Tribolium castaneum: one gene and its partner. The protein of the gene in region 1 interacts with the protein of each later gene in a pairwise test. Links are inferred from orthologs where the notes say so. Each region holds a gene or a part of one and is shown in the gene's direction. Other genes may lie near its edges.

Region 1 (3,594 bases):
AAAGTCATCTTTAAACGAGTCGCCTCTGATAAATCCGTGTAAAGCACCGAATTGTTCGTACCCGCATTCATCCCCTCTTAAAATAAAAATTCAATAACATTGCATCTGATTGGTTATTCTTACAGCAGTGATAGCCAATCACCGTCACGCCACGGGTGCTGTGCAAGTGCATTGGTGAGTAAGTCAGTGGCGGCGTCTTGGGGATGAAAACGGGGAGCATTTGTTGCAATCCAACTGCAACAAAAATGATTTAAATCATATGACCAATTAATTTTATTTGATTTTTACGTCAAATTGAATCTGACATGTTCAATATCGTTGGTGGCGTTGCTCAATAATCCATTAAATGTCACTCGGTGACGTTTGAATGGTTCCAGAATTTCCAAATGGAGGTCTTTTGTTTTCCAATGCCAATCTGATAGATTATACTGTTTTGTCTTTTTTTCACCTATTTATTAATAGAATTACAGTTAGATATGTTAATATTATTGTTTACCAGGAAATGTATAGATGGCGCCTGTTGAAAGCCGTAAACAAAGAAAAACCTCGCCTACTAGACCTGACCCAATTATAAAACGTAACGATAGACTATTGCCTTTTTGATCTGCTCCATATATAAAATAATTATCACAGTACTGTAAAAAAAATTATATTAATTGATACTAACTTATCTAATAGATTAGTTTAATGTTTTACATTTTCCGTCCGAATTTCTATTGGACTTTCGGTTATGTTAATTTTTGTTTTGAATTTGTTTTGATGTTTTTTGACGGCCGATTTTGCGATTAGGAATTTAATTATATAAAACCAATCTAAAATTAATCAAGTAAATACATAATTAATTATGGAAAGAAATAAATACCTCGGTTTGTGTAAAAACGATTTTTTGTCCGATGTTGGAATACAAGAACGTAGAGTGAGATCGGAATTAGAAAAAGTGTTACGTAATAACAAAAATTGAGTAAGAGCTCCATGGTCACGACTAGAAGTAATTTCGATTAAATGTTTCAAACAGGTGTTTGAGATAATAATAATTATTATCTAAACTTGAAATTTTAACTTATCTGCGTGAGCACTTTGGATTGGAGTTGGATAGAGACACATTTACAGATCAGTGATGTAAACATAAATCAAGGCCAAACAGATAATTGCATTGCTTATTATTACATGAAAGTATTAGTATCATAGGTCAATGCCATCATTCCGAAACGGAAGTGAACATTTTTGTGATTTAAATGTAATTTTCAAAAAAAGAACCCCAGAAAGTACGCCACTGGAGAATTTGTAAAAATTAAATTATGGGTTTTTTAAATCCAGTTAGTGCAAAAGCGATTACATGAATTGATTTAAAAGTTATTATATACAATCAAAAATTTTCTGTCTTGAGGCACAAATTTGCAAAGATTGTTTGAACCTAAATACACAGCTTCTGTTCCAACTGTCAAATGTCATGAAGCTAACCAAACTTTTTTTCCACTTTATTTTATGAAAAATGTCCGAAACGGGGGGCAAAGCTCCCGTGAGTGTAATAGTGCTTGGAATGGCCGGTTCTGGCAAAACTTGTCTTGTTACTCGCTTATCAAATTCTCCGAAAAAACCGTACGTTGTGAATTTGGACCCTGCTTGTTTCAATTTACCCTATTTCGCTAATATTGGCAAGTATTCGCGGGCGTCAAAGTTTTCTTGGGATTTAATGTTAAATTACAGATATTAGAGATACGGTAAATTACAAGGAGGTTATGAAGCAGTACAAATTAGGCCCTAATGGTGCTATCGTCACAAGTTTGAACTTATTTTCAACGAAATTCTCTGAAGTGATTGGTTTTATTGAAAAGTCGAATCATGATTTGTGCATTTTGGATACTCCTGGTCAAATTGAGGTGTTTACTTGGTCGGTTTCGGGTTCGATTATTACCGAAACTTTGGCTTCAACTTTACCAACAATCATTTTATACGTTGTTGATTGTGTGCGAAGTACTTCTCCTGTTACGTTTATGTCAAACATGCTTTACGCTTGCTCGATTTTGTATAAAACGCGTCTTCCTTTCATTGTTGTTATGAATAAAGTTGATATCGTTGATCATTCATATGCTGTTGATTGGATGACCGATTTTGAGTCGTTTCAACAAGCACTTGAAGCTGCTGACGACGAAAGCTACATCAGCAATTTGACGAGGTCTATGGCTTTAACATTGGATGAGTTTTACCGAAATTTAAAAGTTTGTGGAGTAAGCGCTGCCACAGGACAAGGACTTGAAGATTTATATAAACTAATAGACGAAGCTAGGATTTTATACGAAACGTAATAACTTTATTTCTATATTTTGTAGTTACTGGAATATTTATTTATTTATATCTATTTTAGTGAATATAGAAGCGAATGGTTGAAAATAAAACAACAATCAGAAGCACAAAAATTGGAAAAATCGAAAAATAATGAACAATGTTTTACGTTGTCGGCTGGGGCCGAATTGTCTGATGTTTTTCTAAGACATCCAGGTAATGACAGTAGTGAAGACTCTGAGGGTGAAGAACAGGCGGCTCCATATCAACAAAGTAGGGACTTGTTTGATTAATTTATTATTTGATTTGATTCTTTTATTAGATGTTGATAATGAAAAAGAAGACGATGTGTTTAAAAAAGTGCTACAACAACAAAGAGAAATGCAAGTGAAAAGGGCAAAAGAAGCAGAGATGAAGAAACACCAAACCTAGTAGGTAATTTATTAAATAAAAGGAAAAAATATAGAAAACAACAATTAAAATTTTATTCACTTGAAACTAGAAATAAATTACAATAAATTATTCAGATCGTTGGTTAAGAAAAAAATTAACACATTTTGTGTGTCAAAAAGAAAAAAAAAACCATAGCTGGTGTTAAGTTTTTTCTTAGGCACATCAATTGCGTACATATTTTTTCCTATTTTATATAAATATATATAATAATAAATAAATAAATGTCTATTGTATTTAGCGTTCAACATACAATTAGTTGGCACGCTTTTCTATCAATATAAAAATAAATATAGAAACTTTGTAAAATAAAATCAACTCTTCAATTAACACAAAAACCATTCTCAGTCAGAAACAAAAAAGAAAAAATGAAGCAATTAACAAAAAAACGAATTTTGTAGATAATTATCGCCTGCTCCCATATTTCTCACATTATTCGAATTATAATTTTGGAAGCGATTACGGTTTTGTAAATTATCAGGCGGCTGTGGTGGCATTTTCCTGAAGGGATTCATTGTCCCTCCTCGAAACGGTGGTACAAAACCTAAACACCCGAAATGCCAAAATTAAGTCAAAACCTCCGTTTCTTACCCCTGTTGTGCATTGAAAAACTCCAATTTTCCAAATATTGAGCTTTTTGACGGCCGTGATCTTCTGCTACGCGAACACTCAACGGAAGCATTGCGTTTTCAAGCAGTTTGCCATCAAGGTCGGCTATGGCAGCTTTGGCCTCTTCTCCTCGCGAAAAACTAAACGAAAAACAAATTATTATTTACAAAGTTTTAATAATTATTATTATCATCATTATTATACCGGACAAAGGCAACTCCACGTGGCATTCCGGTAATTTTGTCCTTTAAA
Region 2 (3,861 bases), on another chromosome or scaffold:
CAAATGATTCCGGCACTTTGAAACATTTTCTTTGATCTTGTTGTCCCAACTCATACAAAAAACGCACATTAACTAATTGCACTGATTTGAAAAGTGCGGTATTGACGTCTCCCTATCTGTTCGACATTTAGTTGTACTAGCAGGAAGACGACATGACGTCACTGATTCTCCCCTCTACGCAAAGACGTCATCAAGCGTCGAATCGATTGGATTCACTTTGCAGCTTTTTCGAAATAGAGCGCTTTCAGATGGTTTTACTAAATAAAACTGTCTTGCAACAAGAGAAAATGGGACTGGAAATGGCACTCGTTTGAATAATTATGTAACCTGTATTTAAACCACTGAACCAGAAACTCGGAAGCGTCGCTTCTTGTTTTTTAGCCTTCACCTGTGTGGATGAGGTTTACAAATGTGTGGCTTTGAATTTCTTTATGCAGCAAAAAGAGTTTAAAAAACGAGTACGAGCGAAGCTTTGACTAGCTTTTCTTTGAGCTTTTATTACAGAATGATGCAAAAAGTACTGCCAGCTAATATTTATACCTAATTTACACCATTTTAATTTGTATCCCCTCTATTTGAATTAATTACCACATTAGAAAAAACAAATTAACAATTGCCTCAGAAAAAATATAATTTTTTAAAGATAAAAGTTTCCCGAAAAATGTTAGTCACCAAAAATGATACTGTGAAAACTCCAGGAGAATCCAGTGAGGCAGAGAGTATAGAATAGTTCGAACATAAAGAATCAATTATCGTGAGGTTTCATCAAAGATATTTTTTAATATGTATTAAAAAAGTTTTTTTTTCAATAAAATAATATACGCATTTTCATCAGCATTATATAAAGTTCGAGGGCTATCTTTATGCAACGAACGTATGTGAGTTACGTACCAAAACACCCGAGAATTTTAAGCGTGTTCGCATAAGTGTTATTCAAAATTTTTTTCGTTAGAACATTTTAATTTAAAAGACGTTGCTATGGGAAGCGTGTTTTAAAATAGTGAAAACACGTTGCTATCGGAAACGTGTTTTATAATCTAGGATTCAGATATTAAAAAGAAGGCTTAAAAGGTTACCAAAAAAATTAATTTTTAAGGTTTTTTTTTAATTGTATTTATTTATGAATTGTATAAAAACCATTTTAGATGATTCATTAAATAACACTAGTACTGTCTTAACAACAGTTTCAATTGGCCACATCCATAACAGATCACACGCATCGGTTTACAATTTTTGGAATTTTATGATTCTAATAAAAAAAAATATAATTAATTTTAGACCAGCCCCTGTACACAAAAAATTGAGTAAATAAAGTCCTGCAACCAAGAATACACCAATGTACAGTCCCTGACAAAAGTCGCGAACACTGTCAAACTACCACAACCTCACTTTTCGAACTAATTTTAGTGAACCAGCATAATTTCGTAATTTGTAATTATGTGTAAGTGACTATGGAAGTGTCCTCACTCATAAATTCATTGTCCCTAACCGACAAATCAAATATTTTCAACTTCGCTGCAAAAATTAACGAAGTACCCACCGAATTTGCAATTGGTACTTTCACGAATCAGAATCTCTTCGTGATCACACAATTCGGCAAATTGTACAGTTTGTACTCAGTCTCAGTGGACCAGACTGAAAACGGAGTGTGTGCCTCCGAACCTGTCTTTTCAGTTCATCAGTTATTTGGTAAAGAAAATATCTACGCAGAAGCTGCCGCCAGATTCATAACTAAAGAACTCAATATCAGGAAACAACTACTCATTTTCCTGAACTTGAAGGAGTATTCAAGGGACACAGTCCTCGGTATTGTTGAAGCTATTAAGAACTACTCCCAGGATAAAGATGTCTGCGGCAAAGAGAACAAAAGTTGCTGAGAATCACTTTGGCCAGGTTGTAATTGGGCCCCCGGGTTCTGGCAAAACCACGTATTGCGGCAAGGTTTACGATTTTTATAAGGACAAGTTGAACAGGAAAGTGGAAGTTGTGAACTTAGACCCAGCTAATGAAAATATGAATTATAATCCTGCCATTGATGTTATGAAGCTGGTGACTGTTGAAGACGTAATGGACACTTTGAAGCTAGGGCCCAACGGGGCCCTTATGTACTGTATGGAGTACTTGGAGGAAAATTTTGATTGGCTGTTGAAGCAGTTGATTGAAATTAAAAACAGCTACTTAATTTTTGATATGCCAGGACAAGTGGAGCTCTATACACACCATAATTCTATCAAGAATATTTTTGGGAAATTGGAGAAAATGGGCTATCATTTGTGCGCTGTCCATATGGTGGATTCGCACTACTGTTCAGACCCTTCAAAATTTATTTCAACCCTTTTATTGAGTCTTTCCACAATGATGCAAATTGCCCTACCACATGTTAATGTTTTAACAAAGGTAATAAACGAAAACATTTGTATAATTTGTGGACAATAAATTTCGTTCTAGGCTGATTTATTGAAAAAGAATGCGGATAAGTTAGATTTCAATATTGATTTTTATACTGATGTTCTAAACCTTGATTATCTACTAGACTTATTGGATGATGCACCACTTACAAGTAAATACAAAAAACTCAACAAGGCTTTGGTTGATTTAATTCAGGACTACAGTTTGGTTTGTTTTGTTCCATTAGATGTTAAGTCTGAGAGGAGTTTATTAAATTTGAAAAGCGCTATTGATAAGGTAATATATTATTTCAACCAATTTTAGTATTTTACTCATAAAAAATTATTTAGGCCAATGGCTACATTTACGGCAGCGGGGAGGAAAGAACTATTCAAGCCTTACTGTCATGTGCAGTTGGATCAAGAACCGAAAGTGAAAGATATGACGCTGATTTCTTTTAGTGTTTAATTTGTTTCACAAAATAAAAAAATTACTGCATTTTGTTTTTATTACTCCTAAATTTAAAGTAAACCTACCACTACTTTGCTGGAGGTTTGGCCTTCTGTTTTTCCAACTGGGCCCTAAAAAATTATTCGTAGCTCTTGTCCACAAACATCTAATTTTTTACCTCAATTGTTTGTTAAAGTCGTCTTCCACGTTATCATCCTCCCAGTTATCTTCCCAGACACTAATATCTTGCTCATCTTTGTCCTTCCCGGTCCAATCTGAAAGCAAGAGAAACAATTCTGCAAATCACTTTGTAACCTCAAATTTACCCTCAACCGGAAATTCCTCAAACTCATCGTCCTCCTCAAGAACACCAAGATCTAACTTAGGTTTCTCGGTCATGTTTAGATTTTGTTTTATCGATATAATTACAAAATTTGAACGATATGATCGTAAAAAGTTGAAACGTTATTTTCAGAAACTTTTCTAGAAACGACAATTCGATTTGCTTACATTACAGGAAACTGTATTTTTTTTTACATAATGCTGCAACCTGTGGTGGAAGGGCCAAACTTTTACAAATCTTACAGAATTTTCCGATTAAACATTTTTTATTTTTAACTAGATCGTGCAAAGAATTAAATTAGGGTATAATTTGATTATAAATTACAAAATAATTACCAATATTGTAAAAGTAGTATTGCTTTTATCGTGCAAAAACTTTTCTAAAAATGACAATTCGATTTGCTTATATTACAGGAAACTGTAATTTTTTACATGATGCTGCAATTTGTGGACGAGGAACCCAACTCTTACAAGTTTTACAGAATTTTCAGATTAATATTTTTTATTTTTAAAGATCTTGCAAAGAATTAAATTAGGATATGATTTCATTATAAATTAAAAAACTCACCAATATTTTGTACGTAGTATTGCTTTTATTGTGCAGAAACTTTTCTAGAAATGACAATTCGATTTACTTATATTACAGGAAACTGTAATTTTTTTTATATAGTGCTGCAACCT

What was found. The genes of interacting proteins can lie anywhere in the genome.
Region 2: the proteins of GPN-loop GTPase 1 (region 1) and GPN-loop GTPase 2 interact in binary tests that used the Homo sapiens proteins (3 or more experiments, as listed by UniProt). The link is inferred for Tribolium castaneum from reciprocal best matches to the Homo sapiens genes GPN1 and GPN2.

What each region holds. Positions count from the first base shown.
Region 1 is NC_087401.1:17,593,870-17,597,463, forward strand, and holds GPN-loop GTPase 1, read left to right. Parts: upstream 1-1,350; 5' UTR 1,351-1,492; coding exon 1,493-1,655; intron 1,656-1,707; coding exon 1,708-2,302; intron 2,303-2,365; coding exon 2,366-2,556; intron 2,557-2,605; coding exon 2,606-2,715; 3' UTR 2,716-3,047; downstream 3,048-3,594. Other genes in the region: rifampicin phosphotransferase-like, read right to left, coding at 1-76, 124-234, 289-448, 497-635, 697-812, 863-974; Sxl (sex lethal), read right to left, coding at 3,111-3,277, 3,325-3,482, 3,547-3,594. UniProt on the Homo sapiens protein: Small GTPase required for proper nuclear import of RNA polymerase II (RNAPII). May act at an RNAP assembly step prior to nuclear import.
Region 2 is NC_087394.1:30,157,302-30,161,162, forward strand, and holds GPN-loop GTPase 2, read left to right. Parts: upstream 1-1,347; 5' UTR 1,348-1,845; coding exon 1,846-2,397; intron 2,398-2,448; coding exon 2,449-2,685; intron 2,686-2,738; coding exon 2,739-2,849; 3' UTR 2,850-3,328; downstream 3,329-3,861. Other genes in the region: uncharacterized protein LOC664179, read right to left, coding at 1-26. UniProt on the Homo sapiens protein: Small GTPase required for proper localization of RNA polymerase II and III (RNAPII and RNAPIII). May act at an RNAP assembly step prior to nuclear import.